Linked DNA regions of Alligator mississippiensis. The protein of the gene in region 2 purifies or fractionates together with the protein of the main gene of each other region. This does not show direct contact. Links are inferred from orthologs where the notes say so. Each region holds a gene or a part of one and is shown on either strand. Other genes may lie near its edges.

What was found. The genes of interacting proteins can lie anywhere in the genome.
Region 1: the proteins of CEP290 (region 2) and IQCB1 purify together in Homo sapiens (co-immunoprecipitation; 8 studies listed by BioGRID and IntAct, counting the BioPlex papers as one, with this or other methods). This does not show direct contact. The link is inferred for Alligator mississippiensis from reciprocal best matches to the Homo sapiens genes CEP290 and IQCB1.

What each region holds. Positions count from the first base shown.
Region 1 is NC_081827.1:247,142,247-247,150,189, reverse strand, and holds the start of IQCB1 (IQ calmodulin-binding motif-containing protein 1), read right to left. Parts: upstream 3,120-7,943; 5' UTR 3,041-3,119; intron 2,716-3,040; 5' UTR 2,542-2,715; intron 2,510-2,541; exon of another isoform or gene 2,405-2,509; intron 1-2,404. Other genes in the region: EAF2 (ELL-associated factor 2), read left to right, coding at 3,451-3,553, 7,844-7,938. UniProt on the Homo sapiens protein: Involved in ciliogenesis. The function in an early step in cilia formation depends on its association with CEP290/NPHP6.
Region 2 is NC_081827.1:84,380,411-84,388,429, reverse strand, and holds the start of CEP290 (centrosomal protein of 290 kDa), read left to right. Parts: upstream 1-4,614; 5' UTR 4,615-4,713; intron 4,714-5,059; exon of another isoform or gene 5,060-5,240; intron 5,241-5,737; 5' UTR 5,738-5,803; intron 5,804-7,757; 5' UTR 7,758-7,786; coding exon 7,787-7,888; intron 7,889-8,019. UniProt on the Homo sapiens protein: Involved in early and late steps in cilia formation. Its association with CCP110 is required for inhibition of primary cilia formation by CCP110.

The DNA.
Region 1 (7,943 bases), about 160 Mb from region 2:
CACTCGAACTGGGAAGAAGTTCTTCCTAATGTCCAGTCTAAATCTGCTCTCTGCTAGCTTGTGGCCATTGTTTCTTGTAACCCCCGGGGGCGCCTTGGTGAATAAATCCTCACCAATTCCCTTCTGTGCCCCCGTGATGAACTTATAGGCAGCCACAAGGTCGCCTCTCAACCTTCTCTTGCGGAGGCTGAAAAGGTCCAGTTTCTCTAGTCTCTCCTCGTAGGGCTTGGTCTGCAGGCCCTTGACCATACGAGCTTCCCTTCTCTGGACCCTCTCCAGGTTATCCGCATCCTTCTTGAATTGCGGCGCCCAGAATTGCACGCAGTACTCCAACTGCGGTCTGACCAGCGCCCGATAGAGGGGAAGTATCACCTCCTTGGATGTATTCGTCATGCATCTGCTGATGCACGATAAAGTGCCATTGGCTTTTCTGATGGCTTCGTCACACTGCCGGCTCATGTTCATCTTGGAGTCCACTAGGACTCCCAGATCCCTTTCCACCTCTGTGCCACCCAGCAGGTCATTCCCTAGGCTGTAGGTGTGCTGGACATTTCTCCTCCCTAGGTGCAGCACTTTGCATTTCTCCTTGTTGAACTGCATCCTGTTGTTTTCTGCCCACTTGTCCAACCTGTCCAGGTCTGCTTGCAGCTGTTCCCTGCCCCCCGGCGTGTCCACTTCTCCCCATAGCTTTGTGTCATCTGCAAACTTGGACAGAGTACATTTCACTCCCTCGTCCAAGTTGCTGATGAAGACATTAAAGAGTATCGGTCCAAGGACCGAGCCCTGCGGGACCCCACTGCCCACACCCTTCCAGGTCGAGACCGACCCATCCACCACGACTCTTTGGGTGCGACCCTCTAGCCAATTCGCCACCCACCGGACTGTGCAGTCATCCACATCACAGCCTCTTAACTTGTTCACCAGTATGGGGTGGGATACCGTATCGAAGGCCTTCCTGAAGTCTAAGTATACGACATCCACCCCTCCTCCTGTGTCCACGCGTTTCGTAACGTGGTCATAAAAAGAGACTAGATTGGTCAGGCACGATCTGCCCGCCACAAACCCGTGCTGATTTCCCCTCAGCATAATTTGTCCTGCCGGGCTCTCGCAAATGTGAGCCTTGATAATTTTTTCAAAGACTTTGCCAAGGATGGAGGTGAGACTGACTGGCCTATAGTTGCCCTCACCTTTTTGAAAATGGGGACCACACTGGCCCTTTTCCAGTCCTCCGGGACTTGGCCCATGTGCCACGAGTGTTCAAATATTCCCGCCAGTGGCTCTGCATTGATGTCGGCCAGTGCCTTCAGCACCCTCAGATGGAGCTCATCCGGGCCTGCCGACTTAAAGGCATCCAGTTCTTCCAAATGACTCTGCACCACCTCAGGGTCTATGCATGGTAGTCTGGCGCCTTGCTGCTCCCTCTGTACAACCCCAGTGAGAGACTTGTCGTGCCCCTCGCTTAGGAACACTGAGGCAAAGAACTCGTTGAGGAGTTCAGCCTTGTCCTCCCTGTCTGTCACCAATTGCTTCTGCCCATTTAGCAGGGGTCCTATTCCTCCCTGGGCCTTCCTTTTACTCCCTATATATCTAAAAAACAATTTCTTGTTGTCTTTTACTTGGGTTGCCATCCTCAGCTCCATGATAGCTTTGGCCCGTCTAACTGCCTCCCTGCATGCACGAGCAGAGGAGGTATATTCATCTTTGGTGATCTGTTCCTGTTTCCACTTTTTATGTGCTCGCCTTTTGTCCCGTAGGCTGCCCTGGATTTCTCTGGTCAGCCAGGGAAGCCTCCTGGCCCCTTTCCCTCTTTTGCCTCGCTCGGGGATCGTCTTGCTTTGTGCCTGAAGGATCGTTTCCTTAAGGCACAGCCACCCTTCTTGGGCTCCCATCACTTCAAATCTCCTACTCTGCAGTGCTTCCTTGACTAATCGCCTGAGTTCACTAAGATCATCTTTCCTGAAGTCTAGCACTTTCACCCTACTAGTTACCTTACCCACTCGCCGTCTTATGGTGTATTCTATTATTAGGTGATCACTGTCCCCCAGATGGCTACCGATCTGGATGTCCGCTACCATGTCATCCCGTTGCCAATACCAGATCCAGTATGGCATTCCCCCTAGTGGGACCGTGCACCTCCTGTGTCAGGTGGAGGTCCTGTACACAGGTTAGAAACCTGCGTGAGCGGTGGGACCTTGCTGTCTGCGTCTCCCAGCAGATGTCCGGGTAGTTTAGGTCCCCCATGACTACCGCCTCCTTAGCTTTTATGGTCTCCGAGAGTTGCCTCAGGAGCCCTGAATCTCTTTCTTCCCCTTGATGTGGGGGTCTGTAGCAGACCCCTACCACCAAATCCCTTTCTCCTTGCCCCCCATGTAGCCTAACCCTGATGGATGGTGTAGGATCCTACCTCGGGCCAGGGCTGGACCAGACCGCGGAGGTCCTTCACAGCCCCACAGATCTCTGCGCAAAACGCGGCTCGCGGGAACTGCAGTGTCAGCCTCTCGCTCCCTTTCTTCGCCCCCTCAGTCCTGGAGGAAAACGTACCCCGCTTCCTGGCTCCGGCCCCCTCCCCAGGGCCGCAGGTCTCCGCCGTGGCCTCTCCGGGACGGTCTCCGCCCGTGCGGGCAGCAGGGCGCTACAGCGTGCGGGCCAACAGGTCGGGCCCCATCCCGGGCAGGGCGCGAGCCAGCGCACAGCAAGGCGGGCGTCTGCAGGGCGCTGTCGGGGGAGAAGAGAAGTGTGAAGACGCCTGCGCTTTGCACCAAGCCAGCAGCACCGCCCCACGCTCGCCCGCAGCCCCCCTCCCAGGCCTGCACCCCAGCTCCATGCAGGCAGGGCCCCTCCCCCACCCCAGACTACCAGGGCCCCTCCCCCTTTCCCAGGTTAGCAGGGCCCCTTCCCCACCTTTGCCCCTCAGGTTAGCAGGCCCCTCCCATTGCAAGGCCCCTCCCCCACCTTTGCTCCCCCACTAGCAGGCCCCTCCCCCTCACCTTTACCCGAGCCCACTGCCAGGCCCCTCCCCCCCACTAGGAGGCCCCCCTACCTCAGGTTATCGGCTCCCACCCCCCACTAGCAGGCCCCTCCCCCCGCGGACCGAGGTGGCCTCACTTCCTCCGAACGGCTCCGTATGCATATGACCCCCCCCTTACGTCACGTCTGCTTCAGCCAACCGGCGGCTCAGCCCCTGGGGTACATTTGCATACCGGCCCATCCCAAAATTTGCATGCAGGCTCCTCCCCCCCGCTGCCCGGAGTGACGAGAGCGCGGGCGAGGCTAGGAAGCGGCAGCCAATAGGAGCGCCGGGTGGGAGGGATTCGCCCCAATGAGAGCCACGCCCCTGCCAGAGGGGCGGGGCGGGCGTGGCTTGCTGCGGCCCCGCCCCCGGCGCCAGGGCTGTTTGGCGGCGGGGGCTGCCCGGGCCGGCCATGGTGTGAGGCGCGCGGCGGGGCCGCGATGAACGGGGCGGCTCCCCCGCTCTTCGACCCCAAGGAGCGCGTGCTCAAGCTGGGCGAGAGCTTCGAGAAGCAGCCGCGCTGCGCCTTCCACACCGTGCGCTGTGAGCGGGGGGGGCCGCGCCGGACGGGTCCATGTGGGGTGCGGGGGGAGAGTCGGGAGGACGGGTCCATGTGTTGGGTGCGGAGGCGGGGACGGGTCCATGTGGGGGAGTGGACGGTCCCATGTGGGGTGCAGGGGGGGAGTCGTGGGGACGGTCCCATGTGGGATGCGAGGGGGGGGGGGAAAGCCGTGGGGACGGTCCCATGTGGGGTGCGGGGGGGGGGGAGAGCTGTGGGGATGGGTCCATGTGGGGTGCGGGGGGGGGGAAGCTGTGGGGACGGTCCCATGTGGGGTGCAGGGGGGGGAGTCGTGGGGACGGTCCCATGTGGGATGCGAGGGGGGGGGGAAAGCCGTGGGGACGGTCCCATGTGGGGTGCGGGGGGGGGGGGGAGAGCTGTGGGGATGGGTCCATGTGGGGTGCGGGGGGGGGGAAGCTGTGGGGACGGTCCCATGTGGGGTGCAGGGGGGGGGAGAGCTGTGGGGACGGTCCCATGTGGGGTGCGGGGGGGGGGAGAGCTGTGGGGACGGTCCCATGTGGGGTGCGGGGGGAGGAAGCTGTGGGGACGGTCCCATGTGGGGTGCAGGGGGGGGAGCTGTGGGGACGGTCCCATGTGGGGTGCAGGGGGGGGGGAGCTGTGGGGACGGTCCCATGTGGGGAGCGGGGGGGGGGGGGAGGGAGAGCTGTGGGGACGGGTCCATGTGGGGTGCAAGGGGGGGAGAGCTGTGGGGACGAGTCCATGTGGGTGCAGGGGGGGGGAGAGCTATGGGGACGGGTCCATTTGGGGTGCAGGGGGGGAGCTGTGGGGATGGTCCCATGTGGGGTGCGGGGGGGGAGAGAGAGCTGTGGGGACGGGTCCATGTGGGGTGCAGGGGGGGGGAGAGCTGTGGGGACGAGTCCATGTGGGTGCAGGGGGGGGGGAGAGCTATGGGGACGGGTCCATTTGGGGTGCAGGGGGGGGAGCTGTGGGGTCGGGTCCATGTGGGGTGTGGGGGGGGGGAGCTGTGGGGATGGGTCCATGTGGGGTGCGGGGGGGGGGAGAGCTATGGGGACAGGTCCATGTGGGGTGCAGGGGGAGCTGTGGGGACGGTCCCATGTGGGGTGCAGGGGGGGGAGCTGTGGGGACGGGTCCATGTGGGGTGCTGGGGGAGAGCCGTGGGGACGGGTCCATGTGGGGTGTGGGGGGGAGCTGTGGGGATGGGGGGGGTGCTGAGCATTGCATAGCGGATGAGGCCATGTAGGGTGGGGGGTCTGTTTGGGTGGGGGGGTTCTGTGGGGATGGGGTGGACTCTGTCCAGGCCCCTTGGGGAGGCAGGTGCTCTGCTGCACCCTGCCCCACGATGGCGGGTGTCTGGAAGGGGCCGGGTCCCATGGGGGCGATGGGCCGTTCTGTGCTCTGGCTTGGGATGGGCTCCTTGGCCCCCGGCCCCTGCTCTTGGACTCCACCAGCGCTAGGGGAGTCCCCCCAGGCTGGCGTTGCCTCTGGGTGGACGTGAACGTGTTGTGCGCAAAGCTAAAGTCCGCTTTGCAGATCCTGCATGGCGCGGTTGGCAGGCACAGGGGTGATGGTGACAAGGGCTGGGCTGTGTAACCTGCAGGGGGGCGGGGGGGCTCCCCAGGCTTTTGTTTCCTGCCATGACCTTAGTGTGAGAGGGGGAGGCTGTGGTCAGTGAGGGCGGTGTCAGGGTAGAGCAAGTGGGGGTCACAGGAGAGCAGGCCTCTGAACAAGGAGCAGGGGAAGGTGATGGGGAGGTGAGCACAAGGGGTCTCTGACTGCACCTGTGGGAGGGCTGGGCTGATCCTGCATGGAGACGTACGGGGCAGAGGGCTGGGCTGGGGACTGGAATCAAATGTGGCAACACTACTACTCTGATGGTGTTGCAATAGCATCTAGCAAGGCCTTCCCGAGGCAGGTCCCATGGAGACTGCGAGGAAGAAACAGTTTCTGAAAAGTTTTTAAACAGACCCCTCGGAGGAAGCATGAGAGAGAGATGTCGTAAAAAACATGAGTATTTGGGCCCCGACAGATTAAGTTGCTTGCCTGCGTTCATGTAGAGAGTCTGAGGCAGAGCTGGAAATTGAACCCAGGTTGCTTATGTCCTCGTGCGCTCTTCAACACAAGACTGTGTGGTTCAGAGCAGGTTGCAGCTGCTGGAGAGAGATTTGAAACCAAACTAATGAGCAGGTGTGTTGCTGGTGAAGTTAACACTCTGCTGCCATACGTCACTTAGCACTTCTTTGTGGGTACTAAATGCATCGGCTCTGCCCTGGGATATGTTTTAAGAAACAGCGGTGTCTTACTTATCCTAATGCTGTGAACTTCTGAGTTTGGGCTGAAGTTGTGTTTGCTCTTTGTGCTTGGCCTCTGCAGGTCTCTAAATACACATTCAACAATCAAAGGTTAAAGGCAGTATTAATCTCAAAGCTAGCATTTGCTCCCTGAGTACATAATAGCTACTATCCTGGGAGGTGTGTTTTCAGCGATTCTGCAGGTATCTAGGAGACAAATGCTGTTAGGATTATGGTTCTGGTAATTTAGGGCTGCTGTTTCTGTTTTGATGGCTCATTATTTTTAGAGTGATCCCCACGGTTCAGTACCTCCGAGAATGCCCTCTGTGCTTCATGCAGTGGGGTGGATAATGTCTGCTCTGAGCAAACGAATCGCACTTCAAATTGTCCACAGCTGGATGGGGGGGAACGCAAAACTTGTACGTGGATTTACATGGCTGCTCTAACTCTTTTTTTTGTTTTGTTTTAAGAACTGAACAATTTGCAAATGTTTCTGGTCTTGCACCAGCCCTTAAATTTCCTGTTGGATAAATATAAATTGTAAAGCTACAGAATCTACTTCAAAAGTTTTTCTCCTGTGTTGCTCTGAAGAAAGGTTGAAATTCAGCTAAATTTGCATATCTGATAGCACTGTCAAGAGAGAGGCTTCTTTTTTTTTAATCTTTTTACTAGTAATATTAGTTGGGGCTACAAATAGTTGAACTGTCTGACAACTTCAGAAATTGGCACCAAAAGTTGACGCTGCAAAGTCAATATTTGAAGACCTGTTTCAGTGTCCTGATCTTACAAAGTGCTAAGGATCCTGCAGCTCTCTCATGGGAATGGTTTCCCATTCCTGCCATAGGAGCTCCATTAGCAGTACCTTACTGAGCTAGGTGCTGATTAGACCTCTGAGACAGAGCCTGCTGCAGTGCAGATATTACCTGGGTTTTAATCCAAACACTTTTATCTACAGTACACCCTCCCATTTCCTTGAATTGAGGCCTGCTGGCTGGTGATGGAGGCTTTTGCTGTAAAATACGTACAGTCACATCCCCTTTGCAGTGTGCATACAACTAAAGCCTGGATTTTGATCGTCTTTTGTTGCCACACTGTGGTTCCCAAGGCCTGGGTGTTGCTATCCTTGGATCCATTCACCATCTGCCCTCTACCTACTAAAAACTCTCTGCTTATTTAGCTCCTTGGAAACAGCAGTTGTTACTTTCCCAGCCTGCTTTAAGTGATGCTTTTGGCAAGATGGACAACTCCGGTAATGCTAGTGCAAAAAAGTTTGGCAAACTTTATGTTCATCTGCATGTTTCAAAGAGTTGGCAAATTAAAGAGCAGCAATTCATACTGGCCAAAGAGTTAGAAACAAATGTGATGGCAGTAGGCTTCAAAGAATGACAAAATGGAATTGCAGTGAGGATATCATGGTGGCTTTTTCTAATTCCATTTTAACAGGAATTTAAAAGCTTATTTATGTTGAGAAAAAACTAAAATCCTTGCTCTGGCACATGGCTTTTCCTTTGCTGTTACAATTGGAAGAGCAGCAACCACAGCTATCCTCAAGGCTGCTTATGGATTTCTGTTTTAACCCCCTTCCCCTGTTTTTCAGTTGCTTGCAACTACCTGCAGCTTCCAGTTCGAGCTGAAATTATCAGGGATTTTCTTTTCCAATAAATAATTGTATGGGTCATTTTTTTTCTTTTAATCATAATCAAAACCAGTTAAGCTACATCTTCAATGGGAAGCCTTCTATGTGGTATTTAAAAATCCTCTTTTGAAAAGACTTGGCATCAGGACATGTTAAGACCTAGGTTGAATACCAATAAAACAGTCTTGGCTTTCAGCTCTATTAGCATGTAGTATAATCTGCTGATAGCAATGGTGGATGCCACACCATCCAATACACTATCTTGGTGACATCCATCTCTACCATCTCTAAAACATGTGAAACCATATGTCAGATGTTCAAGGGACTTCTGAGACTTATGAAAATCACCATTTTGTTTCTATTGTTAGATGACTTCAAGCCTGCGTCTATTGATACATCCTGTGAAGGAGATCTTGAAGTTGGCAAAGGCGAACAGGTGACAATAACGCTGCCAAACATTGAGGTGAG
Region 2 (8,019 bases):
TAGTAAAATAAGCTCATCACATAAGGTATTATCACTGTGTTACAAGCAGATTGTATAGCTGAAGAATACCATTCCCTGCAGATGACTAAGTGGTGGGGACCTAAAGTAACTACGTTGACTCATGCATTACTGTACAATATGAACTGTAATTTCTATGTAAATCTTAGAAGCTTAGTGTGTTATCTTATAGTAATTAACCAACCTGAAACTAAAGCATTCTAGTTGCATAAGAATAAAGTATTCACTTGAAAAGCACTGAAAACAACCAACACCCTCCTGAACCCAGAGGAACAGATTTCCACCTTGAGCTTCCGCTGTACAAAAATGAAGTTTATTTTCTACTATGGGGAATTTTACCATCTTCAATTTTCCCTAAGCCTGAGGAAAGGCGTATGTGCCCAAAAGCTTGCAGAAAAATACATAATTTTTTTGTGATTTCTTAACTGGTCTAATAAAAGGTATCATCTCTGAACCAAGAGTTCTAGAGTTTTGTATTTCTGAAAACAACCAATGTATGAATGAGCATTTATGTAGATACTAAACTAGAAATGTAGAACTACAGTACTGCTCCAAGTGGGTGCAGGGGCATACCCTGAACAAGTTTGGGCACAGCCATGCCTCATCTACCCGGAGGAAATTTACTGTAGTAACAACTGGTTACCCTTAACTAACTGAAATAGCATACATTTTGTGACCACACACAAGAATGATTCAAGAGGAAAAGGCCAGAGAGAAATGCATTGCTTTGGATTTTGTATTGATAAACAAGATTGTTCCAATTACTGCAGGCTGAAGCAACAGAGCACCCACATGGAAGTACTGCACTAATAGAGCCAGTACCTTGCCAGAGCTGACACACCCATCACTTCAAGTACCTGCCTTTGTTCAGGATCCCCTGTTCGTCTGAACTCCCCTACTTAATTACCCCTTAAGTCAGATCACCCTCCTTAGGTAAAAGCTGCAAGAAATAATGTCACTAGTCCACTATCTGAAGTCAGAACTGAAACTGTGAATAACAAACTGAATGTATTATTTGCTCTCCCTCCCTGCCCAGAATACACCTCCAGATTTATCTTCTTCCAAGAATCACTATCACTAGCAGTTGCAACCTCAAACAACTTCAATGAGCAACCAATATTTGGATCTCTGTCTAAGAATAGCATGGAAGATGAGGTCATTTCTGGAGCATCCAAAGAGGGGGCACAGCAGCACAGCCTCTCTCCTTACCTAGCTGCATCTGCTTGCATGGGATAAGAAATCCTTTGACAAAGAACCAGCTGTCAAAGGAGACAACCAATATTCCACTGCTGAGCAATAGTTGTAGAGAAGGGTGTGAGAAGGTGACCACCTTCTTAGAAAGTGCAGGAAGTGGGGGGAGGAATCTGTCCCCAGCACATCTTTCTTTCTCTAGAGATGGTCCTGGTAGTCTGGAATTTGGCAGAAGGCAAGGCAGGGTGGCACTTTAAAGACTAGGGCTGTCCAATTTCTGGACAACTGGGAACAGCAGACCTGACTCCTCCCTCCCCACTACTACACACAGCACTCTCAACTTCTTGCCATGCACACCACACAGGCAGCCCATCCCTACAAAGTATGCAGAGCAGATCCCCCACCATCATGCATGCAACACCCTTTCCTCCCCTCCCTCCATGCACAATGGGAAGACAGCCTAAGATGCAGCACAGACAGCCGAGAGTTCCATCCCCTTTGCTATGTGCATAGCATGGGTACCATGACCTCCTTGTGCTGTGCCACCCTGCCCCAAGGACCAGGAGCAGAAAGTGGAAACTGGAGGAGGGAGATAGAGCCCAGAGACCCTGGCTGCCACTGCAGGAGCAATAGGGTGGTAGTGAAGTAGGGAGCGTTGGCTGGACAGAAAGAAGCCTGCAACCTGCATGTTAACACCTCAGGCTGCCAGTTATACAGCTTCTTTACAGTGTAACAAAATGCCACCCTGCCTTAACCTTCTTTCTTTATTTCCCTAGAAATGTTTCAGAAAAACCCTCATCATCATCTTCACATTTTACTCAACTAAAATGTTGAGCTAAGAAAAGTAACAGAAGAGTAAAGCTTCAGACACACAATGCAATTACTCCAGAATATTTACTTTGAATTTAATTCCATAATGAAGAGCAAACACCCATGAAGTTCTCTTATCTCCCTGTCTTATCCAGGTGCTATTACAGCACCAGACCCTCAAGTAGCAGAACAGCATTAGGCAAAAAGACTACATCAGGATGATACTAACAGGTAGGGTCATCTGTGGGATAGACTGAACAGCTGAGAGAAACACAGCCTTTAAATCAGGAATGTAAATATAAATATTGTTTTAAAAGTTATCCATTTAATCTCCTCAAATTATATTGGTTAAACAGTTAACTCAAAGTGTAGTGACCTCTGGCAGGAAGCCATGGGTTGGAGGCAGCAGGTGTAGCCAAACCACTAAGGGGTGCTGCCCAGCTGCAGAACCGCAGCCCTCAAGGCTGGAGCTGCAGATTCCTCGTGTCCAAATCCTCATGCCACAGGGAGGAAAGAACAGAGGAAGGTGCTGGGCTCCCCCACAGGGGAGCCTTCCCATCACAGCAGCAAGACTCCTAGTTCCATGGAGGGTCTTCCCAGGCCCCTTATAGCAGCGGGGCCCAGGCAAGGTAACAGATTCCTTGAGCTTGTCCCACCTTGATCTGGACCTGGAAGTCTCTGTGCTGCTGGGTCAAGCCCTCCCCAGCTTGCCCTGGGGGAAGATGAGGTCCAGACCCAGTGGGGTGGCCTCTGCCAGGTGCACTATGTCCTTCCCCTTCTTGTCTGTGGCAATGGGGCTACCTGGGGCCTGGCCCAGCCCTGAGGCAGGGCTGGCATGGCCTAAAGAGGCACCATGGCAGCTGTAGCAGGCAGCTCCAGGTTAGAGAGGGGATTGAGGCTAGTTCCTTGAGCGGTGATCTTAGCCCCACAGCATTCATGAGCTCCAGCCTAGGAGGCTGCTGTTTCAGCCCTAACACTCCCCCTGGGATCCCTGCTGCTCCAAAAGAATGCCATAAGGCTGTGCTCACCATGCGAGGGGCCAGCAATGACCTCTTAGCAGCCCTTTCAGGTCCAGGCCACAGTGGCATAAGTGCGGCAGAAGGCACAGGACCCTGTCACCCTACCTGGACCTTGTTGCTGGAGATGAGGGGGCGACAAACCCATCACAGGGATGGGAAGGCCCCGCCTGACCCATGTGGGGGGACCCAGCACCTCCCTGCTTCCCTGAGGTGGTGGGATCCAGGCACAGGAGAGGTCCGCAGCCCCGGCTCTGTCCACAGCCCCAGCCCACGATGGTGAGAAGGAGCCGCAGCTCCACAGCTGGGCTGCACCCCCAAATGGCTCAGCCACACCACTATCCCCCACCCACAGCTCCCTGCCAGTGGCCTGGGGCCCACGCAGAGCTGCTTGTATGGTGAAGACACAAGGGGCATAGGCCAAGGCTGCTCCTGCTGGAGGTTTCTAAACAGTAAACGGTATAAATAAAATTGTTGTTTAACCATTTACATACTTAAAACATTGCTACATTAGACACATTTTTTGCTCAGCATTTTTTCGCACCTCTGTGAAAACAGAGTGTACTGTGACTGCCCCCAAAACTACAGAGCTGAGCGTTTCCAACCCCATCTGGTAATGTCCACCTCCGCGTGGTTTTCAACTTCTCACTGGCGATTTGAAAAGCTTCTCAGACTCGTAACCAAATCCGTTCTGCGGGGCGCGGACACGAAGATGGGCTTTATACCCCTTTATCTCCTGTGCTCTGCCCCGATGCCCTGACCATCCCAGGTGCACGGATAGACCCAGGGCCCTACAGGCACCACCGGGCCCCAAGAGGCGCTCACAGGGAGAGGCAGCTTTGCACCTCTGCTATGAGGGCCGGGGCCGCCGTGCCTGGCATCTCATCAGTCCGGCAGGCGACGCCAAGCCCCAGGGGCTTCAGAGAAAGCCACGAGGGCCCCCGGCGCAGCGCGCCTTCCTGGCCCCCGGCCCTCAGCAGCTCCTGGCCTCACGCGGGAGACCTCGTGCCCTTTTCTTTTTGACAGCTCGTTGCTCCGGCTCTGCTCACCCTGCGCCTCGCCGCAGCCCCGGGCAGCTCCGCCTGGGCCTCGCACTCTTGTCGAAGGTGCCCCCGGCCCCGGCCGCCCGCCCCGAGGCGCCGCATCCCGACCCCGCCCCGGGGGAGGGGCCGGCCTCAGCTCCCGGGAGCAGCGCAGGCAGCACCAGCTCGGAAACGAGCTCCGCGCCCCCGCCCCGCCCCGCCCCGTCCCGTCCCGTCCGGGCCGCTCCAGACCTGGCGCCGCAGGCTAACACTGCCTCCCAGCCGCGAGGCTCCATGTCCCCAGCCCCGCCGCTGCCGCCGAGCCTGAGGCGGTGACTCCCTTCTGCAATGCGCGTGCGCACCATCTCCCTCCCTCCCCACCAGCCGCGGAGGATGCCGGGTGTAGTGCGCAGCCGGGAATCGTAGTTGCCGGCAGGTGGCGGGGCATGCTGGGAGCGGTAGTTCGCTCGTCTCGCCCGCGGCACAGCTGTCTCTAACGAGCGGCGCCTCACGTTCCAAGCCTGGTGCCGCCGTGCACCTTGGGGCTTGTAGGCTTGGCCTTGGCCGAGCGTCCATCCGGGGCTCGGAAGCAGCGGGGCTGGTGGATGGCGTCGCCTAGCAGCGGCCGCCGCTTCCCGTAGGGCCCGGGGCGACAAGTGAGGGCCGGGTTGGGCCAGGCCAGGGCGTCCCTCGGGTGCCGCTGGGCGGGGGAGAGCGTCGCTCTAGTGGGGGGTTCCCAGCGCGCGGAGGGGCAGGAGGAGGCGTGTGGGCGCGGCCAATTTCGGGGGTGCCCGGCCGGGGGTGCTCCAGCTGCTCGGGGCCTGCTGCTGCAAGGGTCAGAGGAGTCGCCTGCCTGGGTGTCCGGCTCCGAGAGATGGGCAGCGGTGGAGCTCATCTCGCTCCCCGGACCTGCGAGGTCTTTCTCGCTCCGTGTAGAGCGCACGGGCCGGTGCAGGGGCGAGGAGGGTGGGTGGGAAAGTCCATTTTTTCCTGTCAGAGCAGTTGTCACTTAAACTACACACTAAGACCAGGTGTGGGAAGTATCTGAAGTCCCGGACTAAAGAGTCTGGGAGGAAGGATGATTTCCTGTAGCATCTGCAGGCATCCGAATGCCAAGACCTGCGGGCCTGGGCCTGCAACTAGGACACCTGCCAGTGGATTTGGGAGGATGTGAAGTCCCAGGGTGAGAGCCTGGGGCTGAGAATGCTGGTTGTAGCACCATACATGGTGTTTAGAAAGATTGAATTCTGCCTGCTCCATTGATACGGTTTTTGGAGCGCTTGACTTCTGCTCAGTCAATATGATTTGGAACTGATTTAGCTGATTTGACCTGGAACACAAAATATATTATTATTATTAATAATAATAATAATAATAAATCCATTGATTTCTTCTCCTCCAGGCAGCAGGTTGTGTGGTTCAAGTGCTGCCCCAGATGGGCGCTGGGTGAGGGGAGATGATTCTGTGCTTAGGTTCCTGGATGCCTCCTGGCTGTTAAACATGTGAAGGATTTATGAGCTCTTTCAGAACAGTAGGTTCAGAACAGTAGGGGCTGGGGTTCTAGGTCATTACATCTCGTGTCTCTTATAATCATTGTACTGATGTCATTAGCCTTTTTGTTGTCTTAGGCTCTCTTTCTGCTTTTTATTCTGACAGGGTTATCATCTCTTTCTTTTCCAGGAATATTTTTGTCTTCATTTGTCATCTTTTCTCTCAAATAACAGACCTGTTCTCCTATTTCAGAAGGTATTTTGTTGTGTTCTGCATGAGGTCCTTCTGTGGTTTCACCCTAATTTAGAGAATTTTTAGATCAGAAATATGTGCATATTGTCACATCTTCCTTGGGAAATCAGACATCATAATGTACTCTGTTTAAATGCATAGCTTTCTGTCTGGAAACATAAAAAGGCTGTGTATTTTCCTGATTTATGAACTTACCCAAACTCAGTGTAAGCAGCACTCATTAAGAACACAATATCCTATCTCAGTCTTTTTCAGTACTGTACAGGGCTATTAGCAGTCCTGATAATGACTTGGCTTCTGGACATTTTTAAAGCTTTTAAAAGCAGCCCTGAAATTGGCATGCTCTGGTCAGTTTCAAGGCTTTTAAGGGCAGCTTTTTGACAGCTGTTTCCTTTCAGCCTTTCTGTCGCAGATATTATGTATTTACATGGATTAAAATTATATTACACAGCAGGTAGTAGAAGCTACCTGGTTTATACATTTAATCCATATGCAAATAATTGATACATGTGCTAACAGGCAAAAAATTGCAACCTGCTTGTATGGTAACAGACTCTTCTTATCCACATATGAGTTAGATGCATAAAATGGTTAGAGGCCTGTGTATCTTTCAACCACTCTACTTCATATCCTAGTTGTGCAGCGAAGGAGCAGCAGCTGTCAAAGGCCAGCTATTAAGCTTTGACAATGATGAGGGGTATTTATTTCCTTGATTGTCATCTCATCTCATTTTCATGATTTCTAATAACTCCAAGAGTGACTATTAGAAGTCTTTAAAATGATGGGAGGATAGTCATTTTCCGGGCTGCTAATACCACAGCACTAACAGGACTGTGTACTTAAATATTGATAGTTTAAATGAAAGTTTGGATAAGTGCATAACCTGCGTAAATGCTGGCCTGAGAACAGACGCTGGTCTGTTCTTAATCTCAAACGGTTTATGTTTCTCTCTCCATATATATACATATACATATATTGCATATTTTTTAAAACTCCTAGTAAACCGAGAGGTGGCAAAGAAAATGAGTGATTTGTATCCCAGCTTAATTGCACAGCTGGAGAAGTTTTTCTGGCAGACTGTTCAGACAATTATAGGAAAGTTTTTGAAGGATGGTAATGGCAGGAAGTTTTAAGTTGGCAAATCTCTACCCAGGGTTCATTTAATGCAGAGGAATGTGAATCAGTTTCTAATAGTGCAGAAATTTCCCACAACTTTAGTAAAATGAATGGTGAAAAAGATCTCAAAGGTCTTGCAGCACTGTACAGAGGTCCTATCTGAGAATTTGCACAAAATATCTGTTCTAATTTTCTACGTCAACTAGCAGCAACTGACTTGCTTGTTTTTTTTTCCAACTGTGAGAGCCATTTTCATAAGGAGAATAAGTAAATTATTTATATGTAGTAGGATCTAATTGCTCTATTTGGACTTTGTCAGCCTGGGTAGGAGCAGCCAATGAACAGTAGCAAACAATTAATCTCTACCTCATGTAAAATCTTTTCCAGGTCCTCACATAATGTCCAATAATACACAAAAACTTTGCAGTACCTAGTTGTAGACTGGCTGGTTATAGGCAGTAGAAAGAAACTTACACTTGGGTGGGTGTATTGCTTCTAATGCTTAATAGCACCCTCATGATAGATTTTGGTCAACAGGTTGTGAGAAGCAGATGATAAGACAGAGGTATCAATGTAGTGCTTGATCTGGTTCTTGTATATATATCTCCCAGTGATGCATTCATATTGTGCAGTATCCAAGATTTTATTTAAAAGGAAAAGAACATTTCTATCCCTCATGCTTGCAAAAGTAATCTAGATGTGGGAAGAGTGTAAACCAATGAAACAGTTCACCCTTGGAAGGTGTAAAGTCTTGTATTGTTTCCTGTGATTCACTTTCTTGCGTTTGGCAATTGTTTTAGCTTTAATGTAATGATCATTATTATTTTTGTTGTTGTTTCAGGGAAGAAACAAAGCTATTTTAAACTTAAGATGGCCCCCAACTTAGACTGGAAGATGCTTATGAGAGTTGACCCAGATGCTCTTCCACGTCAAGAGGAACTGGCGGATAGATTGCTGGAGACTGTGTCCAAAGTACGTGTATGAAGTACAAGAAATGTAAATGTTTTTGTTATGCATATTTAGTGAACCAGTTCTGGTTCCACAAAGATTTAGCATTAGTATAAATTTTGTTTAATTCTGTGTTATTTATGGAAATCATTCTA